3 linked regions of the Pelodiscus sinensis genome follow. The protein of the gene in region 1 interacts with the protein of each later gene in a pairwise test. Links are inferred from orthologs where the notes say so. Each region holds a gene or a part of one and is shown in the gene's direction. Other genes may lie near its edges. The genes, in order: HIVEP1, ataxin-1-like and BHLHE40.

The links.
Region 2: the proteins of HIVEP1 (region 1) and ataxin-1-like interact in a two-hybrid assay, tested with the Homo sapiens proteins (2 studies listed by BioGRID). The link is inferred for Pelodiscus sinensis from reciprocal best matches to the Homo sapiens genes HIVEP1 and ATXN1L.
Region 3: the proteins of HIVEP1 (region 1) and BHLHE40 interact in a two-hybrid assay, tested with the Homo sapiens proteins (2 studies listed by BioGRID and IntAct). The link is inferred for Pelodiscus sinensis from reciprocal best matches to the Homo sapiens genes HIVEP1 and BHLHE40.

The regions. Positions count from the first base shown.
Region 1 is NC_134712.1:109,735,512-109,742,793, reverse strand, and holds the start of HIVEP1 (zinc finger protein 40), read left to right. Parts: upstream 1-4,206; 5' UTR 4,207-4,359; intron 4,360-4,512; exon of another isoform or gene 4,513-4,633; intron 4,634-4,659; exon of another isoform or gene 4,660-5,539; intron 5,540-5,987; exon of another isoform or gene 5,988-6,350; intron 6,351-7,282.
Region 2 is NW_027466015.1:628,644-636,143, forward strand, and holds the start of ataxin-1-like, read left to right. Parts: upstream 1-4,425; 5' UTR 4,426-4,579; intron 4,580-4,585; exon of another isoform or gene 4,586-4,760; intron 4,761-5,432; exon of another isoform or gene 5,433-5,673; intron 5,674-7,500. UniProt on the Homo sapiens protein: Chromatin-binding factor that repress Notch signaling in the absence of Notch intracellular domain by acting as a CBF1 corepressor. Binds to the HEY promoter and might assist, along with NCOR2, RBPJ-mediated repression.
Region 3 is NC_134721.1:16,270,249-16,277,644, forward strand, and holds the start of BHLHE40 (class E basic helix-loop-helix protein 40), read left to right. Parts: upstream 1-4,381; 5' UTR 4,382-4,590; coding exon 4,591-4,670; intron 4,671-4,874; coding exon 4,875-4,944; intron 4,945-5,375; coding exon 5,376-5,483; intron 5,484-6,481; coding exon 6,482-6,605; intron 6,606-7,396. UniProt on the Homo sapiens protein: Transcriptional repressor involved in the regulation of the circadian rhythm by negatively regulating the activity of the clock genes and clock-controlled genes.

The DNA.
Region 1 (7,282 bases):
CTGGCTCTTTTCCGGAACAGTGTTCCAGAATAAGGACTTATGCCCGAGCGGGAGCAGCATAGCTTTTCCAGAATAGCGGCTGATTTTGTACGGTAGAGCATTGTTGCTTTTCCGGAAATTCAAGGGCCAGTGTAGACAGCTCGCAGCTTATTCCGGAAAAGCAGCTGATTTTCCAGAATAAGTGGCCCAGTGTAGACACAGCCAGGGTGTGTCTAGACTACATCCCTATGTCAGCAGAGGGATGTAAATGAAGCACTTTGAAAGTGAAAATGAAGCGGGGATTTAAATATCCCGTGCTTCATTTGCATAATTACATAATGGCGCTCTTTCGAAAAAGGGCTCTTTCGAAATTGAAACCACAGTCTAGATATGATTTTCAAAAATGGGGCGCTGTTTCGAAAGATCCTGTAAACCTCAGATTTACAGCGCCCCGTTTTTGAAAGAACCGCGTCTTGACTGAGGTTTCAATTTCGAAATAGCGCTTTTTCAAAAGAGCGCCATTACGTGATTATGCAAATGAAGCATGGGATATTTAAATCTCTGCTTCATTTGCACTTTCGAAGTGCTTCATTTACATCCCTCTGCCGACAGAGGGCTGTAGTCTAGACGTAGCCAAAATGAGGTTTACAGGATCTTTCGAAAAAGTGCTCTGCTTTCGAAAGAACCGTGTCTAGACTGCGGTTTCAATTTCGAAATAGCACTTTTTTCCAAAAGAGCGCCATTACATAATTATACAAATGAAGCATGGGATATTTAAATCCCTGCTTCATTTACACTTTCAAAGTGCTTCATTTACATCCCTCTGCCAACAGAGGGATGTAGTCTAGACATGGCCTTACTGATTTAAGATATAATGGCATATCAGTTAATTATATTCTGGTTTATTCTATGCCTGCCTAGTGCATGTCTTTACTACAGACTTAAATCAAACTATGTTAGGTCAATTTACAGCCAATGCAGTAATTACTGTGGTGGCTGATGTCCACACTGACCTCCTTCTGTCAGTGGTGCACGTCCTGACCAGCAGCACTTCCACCAACTGAAGAGACTCTCAGCTCCATGCAGCTCTGCACAAGGAGCCCAGCTGCCTCCCTGGATTCCTAACCCCCCTGATTTCTGCTGGGAGTAAGGGGGCAGTCACACAAGCTTCTGGGCTTCTTGCCTCCGTGAATGGGGAGCTGGGTGGGTGCAGCCAACTGAGAGCCAGGGATAGCCAGGTTCTAGCTGCCTGCCTTCCTTATCAATTTCACATTCCTAACATGAAATTAACAAGGCACTTAATATCTGATGTAAGTAAAGCAGTGTCTACAGCGACACTGTGTCAACCTCACTCCACTGTCATAAGCAGTACACTTCTTGTAGAGTTGGAGTTATTACATAGGCATGGTAGGGCACTTACATCGGGCAGGACAAGGCTGACTGAGTTAGATTAATGGAATCTGCCTTAAATCGACTTAATTGTGTAGTCTAGATCAGGCCTAAGCCCCCCACTATCCAAGGAGTCTGTGCTTTTATATGTTTTGAGTGACTAAAGACTGTGAGAGAAATACAAATCTAAGCTTGATTAATGCATATGCCATGTTGCAGTGAACGATATAAGCAATATTAATATTTGCTGCCTAAGGTAGTTAAATTTGCCACAACACTCACCATATTTAATAAGAACTGCAGTAAAGTAAAATACTGTGGGCATGGTAAATGCTGATTTATTTAAAGTTTTATGTTATATCCTGGCCTCTCCCGTTTCTAAACTTTCCACATACTTTTCTGTGGTAGAATCAAGGTGCGTCTGTTTTAGGACTAGGACTTGTAGGTTCTAATGCAATATTAATAATAACAATTAGCAATTATAAAAGTACCTTTATACAGAATCACCTATTGTCAAATATGAATGTTTTATGCATAAATCTAGCGGGAAGTTATCAAAATTTTAAAAATTAGTCCCTTTTGAAAATGCAATAGAGAGTCAAAAGTAAAATATGCTTTAGTAGCCCTTCTCTCAACTCACCCATTTGAAGGGTGACTCTTATGTATGGGACTAATTTTAGATGCAGTTTTTAAAGTATTTTAGTTTTGTGAGAAGAAGTTTGCAGTGTGTTTCAGTGAGAGATTTAACATTTCACTGATTATTTTTTTGATATCTCCCTCATTCACAGGGCCAGAATAAGTTCCCAGATACTTGTTACTAAGAATATTCCATATCACTTTTCATCCTTATATTTCCAAGTGTTTCACATAAGTGGATATGCATATTTTTCTACTTTACTGTGGAAAAATCAGAGCAGAAAGAGAGGAAGTGACTTGCTCAAGGTCACACAGCATATCAACAATCAGAACCCAGATTTCCTAATTTTTTTCCAGCCATGTTACTATTCCCTGTTAGCTAGATGACTAAATCTAGTAGCCAGAGACAGATGTGAAAGGATCTCAACAGCAAGGGTCTAGAGGCAAATCCTTGCTAAGAAGCTCATTTAACTCCCTATCTCCTGGAAGTGTACTAGGATTCCTGTCATGGTGCTCTCCCTGAACACTGCTTGAAGAATTCATTTTAAAATTAGGATGTAGGTACCTAGTCCCACTGCAGCTTCTGAGTTCCAGAAGCAGTGATGGGCTAGAAGGTGGGATGTATGCTATTTTCATCTTCTCCTGTTTTGTGAATAGCTCCATTGCTTCTGCTGCTAGTGATTCAACAATCAGCAATCTGAAATTGATGCTGCTCTTGTAAGGCTTATGTCTATTTCCTGGATTTAAAGTAATAGTCTCCAATTTCATTATGCTGCTTGGGAAACCTGTGAGCATAGTAGAGACACTAGGAGCTGTCTGTCTACAGATTCTGGAATGTAGCACTTCATTGGTTCACATTTGAAAAATTACACTTGTGCCCAAAGGGTTAAAACAGTTTTTTCATAAACGTTAAAATTTCAGATACTGATGAGTTAGTGCCGGCTGTTACCAGGAAATCTCTGTATTCACTGTGGGTGAATGGGCTTTCCAAGAGCATCTCATTCAGACGACATAGGTTGACAGCACTGTTTCACCCACAGGCATAGGACTGGTCTACTCTGGGAACTTATATTGGCATCGCAATATATTTCAGGATTTCTCAACCCTGGGAAATGTAACTATACCAGCCTAGCCTAGTGCAGCCAGAATTAAGTTGCAGAAGAATTATGCCTCAGGAAGATGGATTTTTTTACACCCTTGAGATGAGGAAGGGGTTTGCCTGTCAGTGCAGGTAATGTCTACAGTGAAGCGCGACAGCATGTAGCTGCACAGCTCTTTAAGTATAAGAATAACTATACCTAAGTGATAGCATAACCTATGTGATGATCTTGCAAATATACTATAACCCCAAAACATCCAATGCCTTTGGGAAAAATGGGCATTGTATGTCACATATTACTGCCAGGGATGTGATATTATTATTTGTATTCCATTAGCACTTGAGAGTCCTAGAGAGGATGCCTGGTCTGATGGTTGGGGTGCTAGTCTGAGACTCATGAGACCTGGATTTAACTCCCAGGGTGTTGTTGGATAAGTCACTCTACCTCAGTTCTCCATTTGTAAAATGAGGATAATAATACTTTCCAGCTTTACACGGATGCTGTGAGGACAAATACTCTAAAAATGGCGAGGTGCTCATAAACTATGCTAATAGAGGCTATGTAAGTACCACAGAGGGAGAGCCCAGTCCTAGACCAAGATCTTGTGTTGATGACACTGTATAGATTTATAACAAAAAGTCAGCTCTTGCACTGGAAGGTTTACAGTCTAGGACAAGACACAACAGATGGATATAAATAGCTGAAGAAACACAAGTAAACAATGTAAGACTTAATGGGAGGTCATTTAATTAGATTTGTTCTGTTAAAAATGTGCTGGATCCTGATGTGATATAAAGTAAAATCTCATGTAAAATTCCCCTGGCAACAGAAACTTAAAAGGTCCAGTGCTTAGCATAATGTATTTTAAATTTTAAAAAGCTCTCTGGTTTTAAACAAAAGGGAAGGGTTTTGTTTCGGTTTGTTTTTAACCGGCGATGGCAACCCCCCTCCTTTTGCTTCCCTGTAACAAGAGAAGGAGGAATCCCTCACCGCGGATCTTCCCCATTCAAAATGACCCACAGGCAAAATCTATATAAACAGCTGATGGAGTAAACCAATCAGCGCAGTACAGCTAGAACAGCAAAACCCTAGGCAAGGGCCAAAAAAGGGGAGCAGCAGTAGAGAGCACTAGGCACCTCCTCCTTGTATTTCCTCTCACGCCCACATCCAGCAGTGGAGGTTTTTTACTTTCGGCTTTTGTCTCTTTATTTTAAAAGTTAACTGGGAAAGAATGTGCAAAGAGTGCGGGCATTGGGTGAGTTTCTTCTTTTAATCTCGTTGGGGGGAAATTGTATGGGAAGGGTTGGATGGTGGGGTGTCCTCGGTATGGGGAGGTTTTATCGGTATGTTGCAATAGGAAGGAGGAGGGGATTAGGCGTAGCTGCTAGGGAACGGGAAACCCCAGAGAGAGAGAGAGAGGAGAAAGAGGACGCAGCATGTGTGACCTGCCAGTGGCAGCAAGGAGGAACCTCCGGGATCTCCGCGTCAGCAGCAGCCCCAGTTATGTGCATACATGGGAGTGTGTGCGCGTATGTTTTGTGTGTCTTCTCTGTGCTGGCGGGATGGGCCGCTATAGGGGGGAGTGCGACACGCACCTGCGTGCCCACGGCATTGCATTGTTGGGGTGGGAGAGAGAATGCAAATGGATTTGTAATAATTTTTCTTTAGGCTCTTAATCAACTCCTGTCTGGGCATGTCTCCTCCGAGGAAAAACAGAGTTTTCTTTAATAAGACTTTAACAGTTTGTGGCTGCTGCTGGGATTAATCGTTGGGATTAACTGCTTCATGACTGAAAATGTCTCCAGTTCTGCCCACTGACCAAATAAGATGTCCGGTCCCACACACCGATACAGGTTAGCCTGGTGCCGCACCATCTCACGTGTTCTAACATAGTGTGGCATGGTGCAACATCAGCTCAGGCTCTCCCCAAAGTCTGACAACACTGTTGTGAAGTCTGGCACAAATAAATTGATGTGTGGGACACAAAGCTGCATGGCGCCGCTGTCGTGCTGGTCAGTCTGCTTGTGATGTTAATATGACTTTAGCTGACATGGCACTTTACAGCCGGACCCAGTACTGTGCAGACTACCCTGGGGCACAGGCTAACGCGACATCTGCCCTGGTGTGACAGGGCATGGCCAGGCCCAGCGTGGCATTGTGCCATCTGGCACGAAGTCACTTTTGCTGAGTGGGCATGGGGGAGGGCACTGGGGAGAGGGAATTCTTACTGGCTGGGGGATTTTATGTGATTAAGTTTTTTTCAACGTGAGCCAGGGCGCGTGTCTAGTTTCACTTCTGTCCCTTCCCACCAGCCTGTGAGGAAACCCCCTCAGTGACCCCTCCCCCCTCCCATGCAGGCAGGGAAGAAGGCGGGGCCGGGAGACCCGGTGACGTCACTGGACCGGGCCGCTTCCTGCAATAGAAAGTGAGAGAAGGTAAAACACCCCCCCTCCCCCTCCCCCGCCCCAGCCCCGGAGCCGCCGCCACCGCCGCGCGCGCCTCCCCTCGCGCTGCCCAGCTGCTGCGCCCCGTGAGTGACCGGCCGGGCAGGGAGCCCCCAATGGCTGCGCCGCCCGCGGCCCGGCCCAGTTGGCCTGAACCGCCCCCCCCACCCCATGCCCAGCCGGGCCCGCCCGCTGCCCCCTGCCTGCAGCCCGCCCCAAGGGCGCCTCCCCCCCCGCAGCCCGGCCCTTGCCCGGGTCACGGGCGGCTCTGCCCAGCCCGCCCTGTGCATGGAGCATCACCCGCTGCTGCCTGCGCGCCGGGGCGGGACTAGTGTCAGACAGACCGAGCGAGCGACAGACATTGCCCGGGGGGAGGGGGCGCCCTGCTGGGGGCTGGGTGGCTGCGGGGGGCGCCGTGCGGGCGGGGCGCGGCTGCTGGAGCGGTGGGTGTCTGGACGGGCGGGAGTCTCGTCTGGGGGAAGGGGTGTGTGTTGGGGGGCTGCCCGGATGCTGGGGCGGTGCATGTGAGCGGGGTAGGGCGGGGGTGGGGGGCGTTTTGCACGGCGGCTGAGGCGGGGGAGGAGGCCAGCCCCGGGTTGTGTTTGTCCGGGGTTGTCAAGTGAAGGAGGCTCCCAGGCGCCGTGTTTCCTAGCGGCTGCCGCCGCCATCAGCAGGGCCGACTCCAGCCCCCTCACCCTCCCCCCCGCCCGGAGCAGCCTGGCCGCGGGGGACCCGGGTGTAGCCCCAGAGCGGGTCCCGGGGAGCCGCCCCCTGAGCCGCGGCGGCGCCCAAGCACGCCACGGTAGGGAGATGGGGGCGGGCGGGAGGGAGGGACCAGTAGGCCTGGCTCCAGCTGCCGTCGTCCCCCACCCCCATTTCACTGCCGGGGGGCTGCGGTTTGTGTGAAACCCGCCTTTACTCCTGTTCCAGCCGCGCGTGTCTGTTTCCTAGCCGGGGAGCGTGAGGCGCCCCCAGGCAGGCTGGGCTGTGGCAAGGAGTAGGCAGGCATCCCGGTGATTTCCCCCTCCCCCAGCCCTTCCCATTTGTCCCCCACCCCATGCATCTCTTCCCCGGGTCAGTCCCGGTTTGCAGTCCCTCCCCCCCCAGCTTGTGGATGGACGTGTGCAGCGCTTTGTTCGGTGCGGCCGTGTTGCAGAGGGGTTTTCCCAGGCTCCTCCCTCTTTATTCATTCATGTTTTTCCCCTTTGCAACTTGTGTTCGCACTCTACCATTTAGTGCCTCTCTCTGTCTGTGGGTTTTTAAATCTTTCTTCTATGTTTTTAAATCCTAGCCTCTAATCTGCTTTGCTGGTGATCACAATATAGGCTTGTTTTAGGGCTGATATTTCAAACTGAGGAGGGAAAACGAAATTTCAAATGTTTTTAAACGATTTTTACCACTTCCATCTGATTTCCCATCCCCAGCAAAATAAAAATCTTATTATCTTATTGCTGGTGGGCAACTGAAGTATGCTGTTTTAATAAATATGTAACGTTATTTGTGTTGCTACTAAACACTAGGACATCTAAAAGCATATATTCAAAGAGGTGTCCCAATTTTGAAACGTACTTGCATGCTGAACCTCTAACACTTACGGGAAATGTATTTTTTTTACACATTTAAACTCCAGTGAGAGCTTAATTATTATCATCCCATGTTCAGAGATGCTCAACGCCTTTTAAAATTTGGCTAGTGATGTAGGTGCTTAATTACATTCACCACAGCTTGAACATG
Region 2 (7,500 bases), on another chromosome or scaffold:
GGCCGATGTATATAGCAGTGGGGCATTGTTGGCACATGATGGCGTATATTACGTTAATAGATATGCAGGAGAATGTACCAGTGACAGTATGGCTGATCTGGTTAGGTCCTGTGATGGTGTTGCTGGTGTATATATGTGGGCAGAGTTGGCACCGAGGTTTGTTGCAAGGATTGGTTCCTGAGTTCGAGTTATTATGGTGCAGTGTGTAGTTGCTGGTGAGAATATGTTTCAGGTTGGCGGGTTGTCTGTGGGCAAGGACTGGCCTACCTCCCAAGGCCTGTGAAAGTGAGGGATCATTGTCCAGGATGGGTTGTAGATCACTAATGATGCGTTGGAGAGGTTTTAGCTGGGGACTGTAGGTGATGGCCAGTGGTGTTCTGTTAGTTTCTTTCTTAGGCTTGTCCCGTAGCAGGAGGCTTCTGGGTACATGTCTGGCTCTGTCAATCTGTCTCCTCACTTCCTTGTGTGTATTGTAGTATACAGAATGCTTGTTGAAGATCTTGTAGGTGTAGGTCTCTGTCTGAGGGTTTGGAGCATATGCGGTTTTACCTCAGTGCTTGGCTGTAAACAATGGATCGTGTGGTGTGTCCGGGATGGATGTTGGAGGCATGCAGGTAAGTATAGCTCGGTAGGCTTTCGGTATAGGATAGTATTGATGTGACCGTCACTTATTTGCACCATGGTGTCCAGGAAATGGACCTCCCGTGTAGACTGGTCCATGCTGAGGTTGATGGTGGGGTGGAAGCTGTTGAAATCGTGGTGAAATTCTTCCAGAGTCTCCTTCCCATGGGTCCAGATGATGAAGATGTCATCGATGTAGCGTAGGTAGAGAAGGGGCGTAAGTAGACGAGAGCTGAGGAAGCATTGTTCCAGGTCAGCCATAAAAATGTTGGCGTATTGTGGGGCCATGTGGGTGCCCATAGCAGTGCCACTGGTCTGGAGGTATATATCGTCACCATCTGAAATAGTTGTGTGTGAGGATAAATTCACAGAGTTCAGCCACCAGTTGTGCTGTGGCATCATCAGGAATACTGTTCCTGACAGCTTGTACTCCATCTGCCTGTGGGATGTTTGTGTAGAGAGCCTCTACATCCACAGTGGCTAGGATGGTGTTTTCTGGAAGATCACCAATGCATTGTAGTTTTCTCAGGAAATCCGTAGTGTCACGGAGGTAACTGGGAGTGAACTAGTAGCTGCAACCTAATCTGGCTCCAGGGTTAACATTTGACTAGATGTAGGTAAACACACAAATACAATTGGTACTTACTCTTAATTCTCTAATACAGGGTTGAATTTCAAAGCTCTAATGACCTAACAGTGGTTGAAATGTAGCCATGTTAGTCTGGTGCAGCTGAAACAAAAAACAGGACTATGTAGCACTTTAAAGACTAACAAGATGGTTTATTAGATGATGAGCTTTCGTGGGCCAGACCCACTTCCTCAGATCAAATAGTGGAAGAAAATTGTCACAACCATATATACCAAAGGATACAATTAAAAAAAGATGAACACATATGAAAAGGACAAATCAAATTTCAGAACAGAAGGGGGATGGAGGAGGGGAAAGAGGGGGGAAGGTAAATGTCTGTGAGCTAACATTATTAGAGGTGATAATTGTGGAAACTATCTTTGTAATGGGTAAGATAATTAGCACCTTTATTCAAATTTGAGTGTAAAGTGTCGAATTTAAGCATGAATGACAGTTCAGAGGATTCTCTTTCAAGTGTATTCTTAAAAGGTCTTTGAAGCAGGATGCAGGTAATCAAGTCATTGAGACAATGTCCTTTCTGGTTGAACTGGCAAGAAACTGGTTTTTCTTTGTGATCCTGTCTAATGTCTGTTTTGTGGGCATTGATCCTTTGGCGAAGTGTCTGAGACGTTTGTCCAATGTACAAAGCAGACAGACACTTTCGGCACATGATAGCATAGATTATATTTCTGGATGCACAGGAATATGTGTTCTTGATCTTATAACTCACTTGGTTGGGTGAGTGTCATATTTTACAGTTCCCACATTTTGGGGTAACATGATTTGTGACCCCCCACAACAGCCCAAATTAGTTAGAATACACCACATTCCATTCTAACAACCGATCCTCCATCAGCCCTGGCTGAATTGGATTTACATAACCACACCTCGGATTCCTTCTCCATCTCGGTATGAGCTATATTTACATATCAATTATCTTGCAGAGCTAAACAATTAGAGTGAGCATACCCACCCCCAGGGCAGCTCTCTTCTTTTAGCTGGCTGATAGCAAGCAGTGGTTCAGCCCCTGCTTACATAGAAATGAGAAAATATAAATTATCCAGTATTTTCTAAATCAGATGTAATGTAGATTGTGATGTAATGTCAAGTGTGTCCGGGATTTTTGTTGAAACCATCAGGCGACCCTACAATTTAGGGAGAAGTAGCTAAGCCTTTTCTCTTCTTTTGAGTTTATAATCTACTTTCCTCTGCCTGTTCTCACCTATCACCACTTAAATCCTACTGCTTGTACTTCATAAAATCCTTTTTATTTTCTAACAAACCCGAGTCAATAATTATTCCCTGTGGGAGCAGTGAGTGTGCACATCCCCCCTTTCATTGCTAAAGGGGGCTTACCTACATAATTCATTTGGGGCTTTGATCCCATTTGGGGAGTGGGATCTCAGGAAGCTGGGCCCAAAACTGCATTTTCCTAGGACCTGAAGAGATTCAGTGTCTGCCCTGCTTCTCAGGGGGCTGTGAGTCTCAGCTCTGCGGTCCAGGGAGCTGGCCCAGCAGAAGCCCCAGAGAGCAAGAAGGAGGGTGGCAGTGGCCTTCTCATGGCCCTGGTAATCACCCCCAAGGGGTGGCCTGTTTGTCCCTGCAATACCCCGGCTCACAAGGACACCAGTCAATGCTGCCCCAGAGGCCGAGGGGGTTGTTTGCATGTTTGGCATTTTGCCAAGACGATTGTTACAGCTGCTGCACCAGCAGCTACGCGGCATCAGTCCTGGCAGTGCTGCCTTGTCGCTGGCCGGCGTGGCAAGAGCCATGACAGGCCAAGAAGAATTCTGGCGCTCCAAAGCCACGGACCTTCCACTGCCAGGCCCAAAAGCACTGCCGCCACCAGCCCACAAGGCCGCCCAGGGACCGCCCAGCCGCTCCCCAGAACCACCCCTGGCTGAAGCCACCGTGTATCCCCGATGCATAGCCTCCCTGGACACGGACACGCCCCGCCCCCTTTGGAACAGCCAAACACTAGCGGCCAGGTTGTGTGCTGGGGGCGAGCCTAAGGGCAGTACAGCGCTGGGGCAGAGCCCATAACGTGGGTGCTGGGAGCGGGACCAGGAGCAGTAGAGCGCTGGGGGTGGGGCCAGTAAGGTGGGCACTGGGGGCGGGGCCAGGAGCAATAAGACTCTGGGGGCAGGACCAATTGTGTGGGAGCTGGGGGTGGGGCCAGGAGTAGTACAGGGCTGGGGGTGGGACCAATACAGCGCTGGGGGCGGGGCAAGAAGCAGTTTGGAAGGGGGGAGGGGCATGGCCAATAGTCTGGGAGGTTCGGGAGCGGCAAAAGGCGGTTCGGTGCCGGGGGCGGGGCCAGGAGCAGTACAGCGCTGGGGGCGGTGCTAGTAAGGTGGGTGCTGGGGGTGGGGCCAGAGGTGGTTTGGTGCTGGGGGCGCGGCCAGTAGGGTGGGCACTGGGGGCGGAGCCTGGAGCAGTAAGACGCTGGGGGTGGAGTCAGGAGCGGTTCGGCACTGGGGGTGGGGCCAGGAGCAGTAAGACGTTCGGGGCGGGGCCAATAGGGTGGGAGCTGGGGGCGGGGCCAGGAGCAGTTCGGCACTGGGGGCGGGGCCAATGAGGGGCGGCTTGGCACTGGGGGCGGGGCCAGGAGCAGTTTGGCACTGGGGGCGGGGCCAATGGGGGGGCGGCTCGGCATTGGGGGCGGGGCCAGGAGCAGTTCGGCACTGGGGGCGGGGCCAATGAGGGGCGGCTCGGCACTGGGGGCGGGGCCAGGAGCAGTTCGGCACTGGGGGCGGGGCCAATGGGGGGCGGCTCGGCACTGGGGGCGGGGCCAGGAGCAGTTCGGCACTGGGGGCGGGGCCAATGGGGGGGCGGCTCGGCATTGGGGGCGGGGCCAGGAGCAGTTCGGCACTGGGGGCGGGGCCAATGGGGGGGCGGCTCGGCACTGGGGGTGGGGCCAGGAGCAGTAAGACGCTGGGGGCGGGGCCAATAGGGTGGGAGCTGGGGGTGGGGCCAGGAGCAGTAAGACGCTGGGGGCGGGGCCAATAGGGTGGGAGCTGGGGGCGGGGCCAGGAGCAGTACAGCACTGGGGGCGGGGCCAATGAGGGGGCGGCTCGGCACTGGGGGCGGGGCCAGGAGCAGTACAGCACTGGGGGCGGGGCCAATAGGGTGGGAGCTGGGGGCGGGGCCAGGAGCAGTTCGGCACTGGGAGCGGGGCCAATGAGGGGGCGGCTCGGCACTGGGGGCGGGCCTGGCCGGCGGCCGGGCAGCGCGAGGCGGGGCGCAGAGGGGCGGGGCCGCGCGGCCGAGTGACTCCGGCTGCGTGACTCCACGTAGGGTCAGACGGCTGCGCGCGGATCCCTCCACCAGGTAAAGTAGTGCCGGGGCGCGCCCCGCCCCCGCCCGCCTCAGGGGTCCGGCAGCCCCCGCGCGGGCCGGTGCGACATGGCGGCGAGCCCCGCTCCTGCGGATCGCTCCGCCGGCGGGAGGGGCTGAGGCTGCGCCGCCGCCGCCGCCATTTTGGCGCCTGGCTCCTGCTGCTGCCCGGCCGGTGAGTGGGGCGGCGGCGCTGCTGCCCGGAGGCCGCGGGGTGGCGGGCCCGGCCTGGGGCGGCTCCCTCACGGCGCTGGGCCCCGCGCGGCGCGGCCCGGGGGGGGCTGAGGCGAGCGGGCCGGGGGGGGGCGCTGTGCCGGGCCCGGGGGGGGCTGAGGCGGGGCGGGGCCCGGGGGGGGGCGCTGTGCCGGGCCCGGGGGGGGCTGAGGCGGGGCGGGGCCCGGGGGGGGGGCGCTGTGCCGGGCCCGGGGGGGCCTGAGGCGGGGCGGGGCCCGGGGGGGGGCGCTGTGCCGGGCCCGGGGGGGCTGAGGCGGGGCGGGGCCCGGGGGGGGGCGCTGTGTCGGGCCCGGGGGGGGCTGAGGCGGGGCGGGGCCCGGGGGGGGGCGCTGTGCCGGGCCCGGGGGGGCTGAGGCGGGGCGGGGCCCGGGGGGGGGCGCTGTGCCGGGCCCGGGGGGGCTGAGGCGGGGCGGGGCCCGGGGGGGGCGCTGTGCCGGGCCCGGGGGGGGGCTGAGGCGGGGCGGGGCCCGGGGGGGGGGGGCGCTGTGCCGGGCCCGGGGGGGGCTGAGGCGGGGCGGGGCCGGGGGGGGGCGCTGTGCCGGGCCCGGGGGGGGCTGAGGCGGGGCGGGGCTCGGGGGGGGGGCGCTGCAGTGTGCCCCGAGCATCCCGCCAGCGCGTGTCCAGGGCGCTCGCAGCCCTGCGGGGCCGGGGCGGGGACGGGCGGGCGGACGCAAGCGCGGAGAGGGGTCGGGGCTACGGAGACCGGGGCAGACATGTTGACTGTGCTGTTGAGCGACGCTGAGCTGCGGGGAGTCCCCCCAGGGCAGCGCTCGGAGCCTAAATGCTCCCCGTATTTTAATCTGACATGGACAGTTCATCCAGCGCTTCCGAAATAAAGGGACCTGCCTGCACAGGTGGGGGGTGCACAAGAGGATTCACAGTAACTAACCTTGCTCGCTCCTGGCAGTCTATAGTATCTAGAGACTCTGGCAATTGAAACATTGCATCTGTCTGAATGTTTTTGCTACTATTTGTATAAGTAACATTGAGAGTACTGTGATACATTCAAAGATTCCCAAAGCTGAATAGCCTCTGGTTGAAACGTTGTGAAATTATTCAGGTATAGGAGTAATAGTAGGCAGGTGTTGTAGTCTAGCCAATTTCAAGTGTAGTGGAACAGCTGGAGACAAGAAGCTACCACTAAATGGCCTGCCAGCTGTCTGGGCCATCCACAACCTGTGATATAACTGAATAAGATTAGACAAAAAGTTAATTTGACATGTATTTGATAGCATTTTCAGGCTAGTCACTTTCATTGCTGCTCTTGTTCTCATGGACTTGTCACTCAGCATCAGGAAGAGAAGAATACCTTTAAGGATAAGAAAATATTTGCAAAATGACAGAATTTGGCAGGGGACTCATGCCTACGGGGAAGTTGTGGATCCTCCATTGCTGGAGGTTTTAAGGACAGGTTAAAAGAAACATCTGTCAGGAATGGCTTAGGTTTACTTTAACCTGCTTCTGCACATATAGGGCTTCTAGCTCTGCATTTCTATGAATATGAGCCTACCTGTAACTATTTCAATGGGATAATTTTCAATTTGGTATTGTCCCTGTAATAAGCCATTGCTGCTTACACAGTGTGGTGTGCCATATATACATATATCCTGTGTTGACAATGGAGGACGCTGAAGAGCGGCCATGGGTAAAATGGCTGAGGAACCAAGTTAATGGGACTTAAGATCTGTATTGTAAGGTTTAAAGTACAGGCAGGCCCTGGGTTATGTACAAGATAGGGACTGTAGGTTTGTTCTTAAGTTGAATTTGTATGTAAGTCGGAACTGGTACATATTGTAGGGGAAACTCTAGCCAAACATTTCTCCAGAGCTCAGTTTTATTCTCCCACACCTCACTTCCCTCAGTCCTTTATTCTCAAGCTGAGGTGTCTGCTGAGAAAAGTCGCTCTGCGTCTCCCTGGTCTGCTGGGGGGAAGCAGCTAGTGTGGGGTTGCCTCACCCCATTTGTAAGTAGCGATCCGATGTAAGTCGGATCCATGTAACCCGGGCTGTCTGTATAGCTAGTTGCTTTAGTCTAGTAACTGAGCACTTTCCACATAATACCAATAGCAAAGTCCTAGTGGACTGGTTCCTTCTTCCCCTGAGGTAAAAAAGCCTGCTCTGAATGCATAGCTTTTTTGGTTTGTCTGTTACAGGTTTTTGAGTGGTGGGGATGTTCAGTTAAAAGGAGGTAGCCCTGTTGCAAAGGTCTTTTTCAGAGGAAGATTTTTGCAGCATCTCCTAAAGATAGCCTAAATTGCATAGTTCATTTAAATAATGAAAATGTCTGTGCACTTTGCCTGTTAAACAGAGAGCTAGATAACTGAGTGAGTTTTACTAGGGATGCTAGCACATAGTTGTATAAATGATTAACCAATAAGCCTCTGCTTAATGGTTAATCCTAATGGCTGCATGCATATCCCTTCCCCCTGATGCTTCTACATCAGAGGCAGCAAGGATGGGGAGGCAGGAGCTGGTGTCTGTGGGGAGCTACCTTTTAAGCTGGCTCCCCATGAGCACAGTATCCTGTGGAGCTGCCTGCCCTCCCCACCCCTGTGTTCCTGCCTCTGATACTGATGCAGCTGTTGCTACACATCAGAGGCAAATGTGTTGCAGGGAGCATGGGGCCAGCAGGGGACTCAGCTATCCCCCACTGTCCTGTGCTCCCCATGACGTTTCAAAGTG
Region 3 (7,396 bases), on another chromosome or scaffold:
AGGTTTTTGGTATTTGATGTGGCTGTTCTTTAACCTCCGGTGCCAGTAACATGAAACGAGACTGTTGGAAATGAGAGAGGGAGAGTCAGTTATTTGATTACAGCCCATGGGCACATGCCTGGCCTTCATGGGTATATTAAGTAAGAGACATTTTAAACAAAACCGCCCTCAGTAACCAAAGGTCTGAATCCACTACTGTCTGTTAACTCCCTGGATTCCCCACATATTCTTAAGAGTGTCAATGATTTGAAGAACTGTATTACTAACATCTGTAAATAACTATAAATCTCTGTTGGACACAAGTTATTATTGTTGTTATCCTATGGCATCAAATGCTCTACAACTACCATTGGAAATGCCAGATTGTCCCTTAATGGCTTTAGAAAATAATGCCATTACTTTTAACATTTCATTATAGCTTCAATCAGGCATTGTAAAAAAATCTGCCATGGAGAAATGGCTCTGCAAACAAAAATTAAAGTGACAAATTAATGATTGCATCAGCCCGTGAAAGCTGTGCCAGGCACTAGGAAAGTGTAATTTAATTCTCCCACAATCTAACTTGATGCCCAAGAATGTAATAACTTCATTTGGGACTCTCTTTCTAGGGGGGAATCCAAAATCCTTGGCAACTACCATTAAGGTCATCAGTGAAACCTGACAAGGCACATTATTTGGCAAACATACCAATAGTGAAAGAGCTAAATAATGGGGGATTACCTCTGATCCTGATTTCTAGCTCACCACCCATTCCAGGAATGTAGTGTCTCAAAGTACCTGTAAGAGTCAAACAACCAGTGGGCATGAATTTTTCCACATATATTTTTATTTTAAATCTAAAACTTAGAGGTGGTGAAAAGTATCTGCCCTTGAACCAAAATGCTAGAATTTGCCAGTAGCAATCCCCTACCATAACTCTACTTATTTCTATTGTTTAATAAAGACAAGTAAGAGAAGAATAAATGAAAGTATGTTAAAAGCTTAAAATTAAATAGCTATATCTATACATTATTTTTAAATGCCCTCACCTGTGGTACAAATAAGCTTAGAGCTTTAAACCAAAGGATTTTAATGCCTAATTTATTTTTCCACTCTTTATGCTATTTGTTTGCTTTACAAAACTCTGCTTTACCAATTAATCAGTTTCACTTTGTAATAAGTGTTAATGAATTTATTTAACAACAGCTGTAGATTAACATTAATAAAGACAATCTCTGCTTTTAAGAGCTTTCAATTTAAGGGCCTGATCCTGCAAGTGCTTATTCACGTGCTTAACTTTTTAGGCACCAGTAGTCTCTTTGAAGTCAATTGGACTACTCATATACTTAAATATATGCTTAAGTTTGCAAGATCGTGGCTGAAGGGCCCAACGCTGCAGAGACTTGAAATCAGTGAATTGATCATGACAGTGAATCCTATGCAGGCTTGGGCTATAAAACACATATGAGAGAACACTCAGTGAGAGAATAGTTAGCTTTGTTTTGTGGTTCTTGGTTGGTAGCTATACTGTACTGTTTAGGCTGCAGACACCACAGGGGAATTTTTCTTTCCTACAAGTAAGATTTTTACCAAACCTCCGCTTTGGGTCTACAATGACCTGACAGGGTTTCGTTAACTGAGTCACCTTCTAGTGTAACAAGTCTACAACTCTAAACCCCTTTAGCACTTTTGCCACCACACATGCATTTAAATGACAGTGTATCCGGAAATGAGCATGCCATCTTCTCTTACATAAATGCTGTCTCCAGTCTCTAGCAAAGTCTTTGCTGACTTCAAGATTCTAGCCACAGTGACTGTCACAGGACTCTCAGAGGAGATAGGGAAATCTTTGATAAACCTTGGCTGGTTTTGTTATTACCTTATCTAGTAAATATACCTTCTTTGGAGTGATCTGTCCTCTCCTTGTTTAGTATGCAGAGGAAATGACAACATATCCTCAAAACAACAAGCCTGCTTTTGCAGTTACACTTCACTATAATCATCCTAAGCATTTGTACAACAGCAGGCAGACAAAAGTCTTAAATGCTTGACAAAGATCAAAGAATTAAACCTCCCCAGACACCTATGAAATAGGTAAGAGTGTAATATTTCATAGCTGGTCCTAGTTCTCAGCTATTCTGCTCCTGCTCTTGGGGAATTCAGAGGCTGCACAGGGGAATCCTAGTTCCCAGTTAAAGGTTTCATGTATACATAAACATGTTGCTGCTTAAACTTAGCTGATTTCACTTTGCTGAATAAGCAATACCAGTAAGCAATGCTCCCTCTAATCTTTTCCATCAATGTGCAGAATGTGCACCTCCACTAGAAACAAAACCTACCTGTGGGCGCCCTGCGGCATTTCAATTTCTCCTGAGTGGCTGCACAATCACACAACTTAGAGCAGGGATTTTCAAACTTGGGTCACAGACCCGCCAGGGAAAGCCCCTGGTTGACCTGCAACACTTTGTTTACTCTAAAGCTCCACAGACACAGAGAGAACACTTTGACCCTAGTTTGAAAACCCCTGGCTTAGAGGGAACACTGCTGGTAAGTGCCTTATAGTGGGCCCATAATAGGCTCTTATGTCAGTAAAAGAATCATACATGCTTATGCTGATAAAAAACTTTCTCAATGTAGATCAGGCCTAAATTACGGTAGCCTCAGCCCTGAGATTGCTGTAATTATATACTCTGCTTCTCTGCCCCCTCCTTCCCCCTCACATCGCCTGTCACATTACCAGTTGTCTTAAATCAGCCACTGACTTGGACAACTGCTCCAAAGGAGCGCACCGCTGAATTCCAATTGTTGGTCACTCTGCCTTTGCCCTGGGTTCAGCTGCAATCTCCTCAGCCCAGACCATGTCTGAGTGCTACTCTGCTAATGCCAGAGTTCACACAAATCCCTGCACCCCTTAATACCAGTTATTCTCAGCGGCATTCCCAAGCCTGGGTATTTCCCTCTAACTGTAGAAATGCACATAGAAGATAATGCTGTTGGCCAAATTCTATGCTGCATTTTATCAAGCCATTAACCACTGCATTACTATAAAGTACAGACTTTAAAAAATAATTAAATTACCTGACAATAGATATGGCATGTTCTGTGTCTATTCCCACTGGAAAGCTGCTATTATTGCATAATAGCTCAGCGGTGGTAGCCAGTTTCTTTTAGTGGGTGGCAAAGTATTTGTCTGTAGTGGCATCAGGGGCCTTGTCCCAATCATTTCCCTGCTGTTTGCTGGGATTTTCAGTCAAAAGCACTCAGAAAATGCATTTTTAGCATATCAGCTTATGAATGTCTTCTCCTCGTCCTGTTTTACACCACTGAACATGGAGAATCAGCTAAATACGCTGCAGTCGGGTGCAGCCGACATGCTCTGCCTCTGCCGGTTTCCATGAACCTGGAGCACTGCCCACTCTGCTGGGAATAGTGCTAGGCACTGAGCCGCTTCAAAAGCCTTTTCCACGTACCAACTAATTCATCCAAACAACCCCTGTGAGGTAGATAAGTTAGGTTTTACTCTCCAACCTCCTATTTTACTGAGAGGGAAGCTAGAGCTCAGTAGTTAAGTGAGGTGCTTGAGGCCAAAGAAGTTGTCTTCTGACTAGGGAAGGGCATTAGGAGGGAGCATCTGGAGCGTCTGGTCTCCATAACCCCTAGACCTGCCACAACACCCTCTTCTGTGAGATCTCTGCAGTTCTACATGGGGGTCTCCCCAGCAATGTTACCTCTATTCTTTTTCCGCAGCGGGGCAGAATAAGTTTTATGAGCACTGCGGCATGTGCGGATGTGCACCACCAACAGGCACACATGCTGCCAGCGGTGGGGGCTGTGCTGCCTTTGAACCTCCCCATGGTGTGCAACCCATTTCTCAGCTTACAGGGAGCACTGGCCATCACCCAACCCTCCCCACCCCACCTCTGGACACCCCCTCTTCTGTCCCTCATGCCCTCCCCCCCCGCCACCTGTGACACCCCCGGGCGGGGACACCCAACCAGCCTGCCTCCCCGCTGCGCCACCCCAGGGTGAAGGCAGAGAAGCCAGGGCCCGCAGGTGCCACTTGCCCACGACTCCGCAGGGCCGGGGCGAAGGAGGGAGGCGCCGCGGAGGCGGGCAGGGCAGCCCGAGCCCCTTCGCTCGCTCCCCTCGCAGCCCGGCCCGGCGGAGCTGTCGCTGTCGCTGTCGCCCCATCACGTTCGGGCTGCTGCTGCCGCCGCCTGGCGTGCGCGGCGGGGCGCCGGGGAAGGCAGGCAGGCAGGCAGGGCGGGGAAGGGGGGAGGCGAGGCCGGAGCGCTGTCCGACACGTGAGGCTCATGTGATGGGGGAAGGCAGGGCTCTCCCGCCCCGGCCCAGACAGACGTGCCGGGAGTCACAGGGTAGAACACGTAGCGCCAGCCACCCACTCGCTCCCATTTAACCCAGCCTGCCGCCTGCCCGCGACTCCTCAGCTCGCGCCCCGCACCGAGATGGTCCGCGCGCCGTAGCCGCCTGCAGCCCCGCAGCCCGTCCCGACGCCCGCGGCTCTGCCACCTGCCCGCGCCCCGGGGCTCTCCGAGGACCCGTTTCGCTGCTTTCGGCCGGAATTAAGTTGCAGCAGAGCCCCCCGCTGCAATGGAAATGATCCCCAGCGCCCAGCCGCCTCCTGCCTGCCTGGGCAAGCTGCCTGCGCTGGAGAGCAACGAGATGCCCGGGTAAGATGCCTCTTCTTTGGGCCAGTGCTCCCCGCCACCTCCCGGGGCGCAGTCTGCCTGCTGGGTTTGGTTGGAACTCCTGGTCCTTCCCCCTGTGCCTGTCGGGCTCCTTGCGTTCTGCATTTGCCCCGTGTGTGTGTGTGTCTGTCTCAGTGTGTAGGGCTAATCATGCTAATTCATCGCACTTTTATGTCATCTGTGCAGGCTGGCCTTTTCTCACATGTATCAAGTTTACAAGCCCAGAAGAGGGTTAAAAAGAAGTGAAGATAATAAGGTAAATGGAGGAATTGCTGAATCTTTGCATTGTTAGTTAACACCTGTGTTCATTTGAAAAAATGAAGTTTTATGCATTAGTGTCTGTCTTTCGGGTTTTTTTTAAATCTGCTTTTTGTATAAAGCTGAACTCTTACAAAATTTGCTGAGGGATTTAGGAGGGTTGTTTTAACATTAGACAGTTTGAATCAAAGTTTTTTTTTTTTTAATGTTATGAGGCTGTTGCGCTCACACCTATTGTCCTTGAATCTGGGGCTCAGAAGATGAGAGGGGAAAATATTTATTTCAGTAGCTGTTACATACAATACTTTTGGGTACACAGAAGCTTGAGGTCTAATTTTATTTCTAGATCACCTTTTACCATGCGTCTATCCATGGTGCTAGGAAGTCATCTTGTGTCTTGTCTGATTGCTCCTTTCTTTTGGCTTCCAGGAGACCTATAAATTGCCCCACAGACTGATAGAGAAGAAGAGACGTGACAGGATTAATGAGTGCATTGCCCAACTGAAAGATCTCTTACCAGAACATCTCAAACTTACAGTAAGTGAAAATCTGGCTAATATCCAAACTCCTCTTCCTTTTGGGGATGTGCCTTGGTTAATGGATTTCTGTGCCATCTAGAGGCTTCATCTCAGCACTGCAGATCTAAGTGGAAAAGGCTATGATTTGGGCAGAGTTGCCACATGGATCTATTACAATTGGTTTTCCTTGCAGATACTGTGAATTTCTAAATAGTGTATATCTGTGGTGGTGGTGGGATGATGTGAATTAAGTTGCTGCAATATTAAAATAAATCATGAGGTAAAAGTGATTGTTGTGGGCTTGATTTGAATGTGGGGGGATTTGTTTTTTTTTTTAAATTGAGCCTCTGAAAATGTTCCTTCTTGCTCTTTTTGAAGTTTTACTGGATGCCATTTATAAGTTGATCCCTAACTTATCTGAGAGTCAAGTCCCTTTAGAGATTGCTTCCATACTTGCATTCTCTGTGTTCTTGTTCTGCAACACATTTTAAGGTCAGCCACTTCTGCTTCTGTAGTGTGTGTGTGAAAAAGAGTAAAAGCTTAAGTGCTTGATTAAAATTAAAAGAAAAAAAATCTCTTCAGAAGTTATGGGGAAAGCCATCTTGGCTGACATCCTGCAGGACACCCCTCTCCTGTCACTGTTCAAAAGAAACCCTTTGACTGGATCCCCCTGTGTTAAGGTCATGATACCAGCAGGGGCAGCAGAATAGATAAATAAAATAGTTGTTTGAGAGCTATGCAGTTGGTTCTAAAACACCCATAGGGTGTAACTGTACCCTTCACTGCAACCCTCTTTTTTATTTTTTAAGTTTACATAATATGTGGATCAGACTCCAAATGTTAACATTGTTGCTCAAGACAACAGATTTCACTGAATAAAGACACCGTTTTTAACCTTGTCCGCCAAATTGCAGCTCACTTTTTCTTATATATATCGCAAGGAATTGAAACCTTTGTAAGATTCCTTGAAACGTGACTGACTCTAAAATAAGTACTAACCTGTCCATTTGTTTCCAGACATTAGGTCATTTGGAGAAGGCTGTGGTTCTTGAGCTTACCTTGAAGCATGTGAAAGCACTAACTAATCTCATTGAGCAGCAGCAACAGAAAATAATTGCTTTACAGAATGGTTTACAAGCTGGTGAGTATTCAAGTCATGCTTGTATCATGTGAGAACCCTGGACTGTCTCATGATCTTACTTTCAACATCTTTGAAATACTGGCTACTTATGACACTTGGTTTGGGAGGTGGGAGGAGTAAGCGTTTCTTTTTTTTTCTTTAGCACGCAAACCCCCCTTTATGTACATGTGGATTTATGAAAAGATATCATTTATCCATCTAGTCAGTTAATTTATAACTAGCTGTGAAGTTGAATTTTAAAGTATATTAAATTGATTATAGCTATTTTATTTCATAGTACAGTTTTGCTGTGAGGGCTTGATCCCAAACTGATGGGAGTCATTCCATTGACTTCAATAAGGTTTGGATTAAGCCCTGATTCCTGCACCCCCCCTAAATATGAAAACATCTCTCTGACACATCCTTTTTGGTTTCTCATTAAGTTAGTTAGTACCCAGCTGAGCTGCAAAGAGTGGGCTATTTAAAGGCCCACTGTATTTTACATCTGTTTTTTCCTTCCCCTTCTTTGTGACACTGAGTCTGGCAGGATAGAACTGGTTTTTCTAAAAAGACTGCTATTGCTTGAACAGCCACTAGATATGCAGCAGAATTACACAGCCAAACCCAATATCACTTCCCAAAGTTTAGACCAACCCCGCCGCTCCCCAGGTGCATGCAATTGATTTGGGACGATTTGGGCCCTTTGTACTCAATTTTCATTAGCTGCAGATGAGCCAGATATTTCTTGCAAATCACTTTGGAACTGATGTCTTTCTGAGGTGATACCAAGGCTTATTCACTGTGCTGCCTTT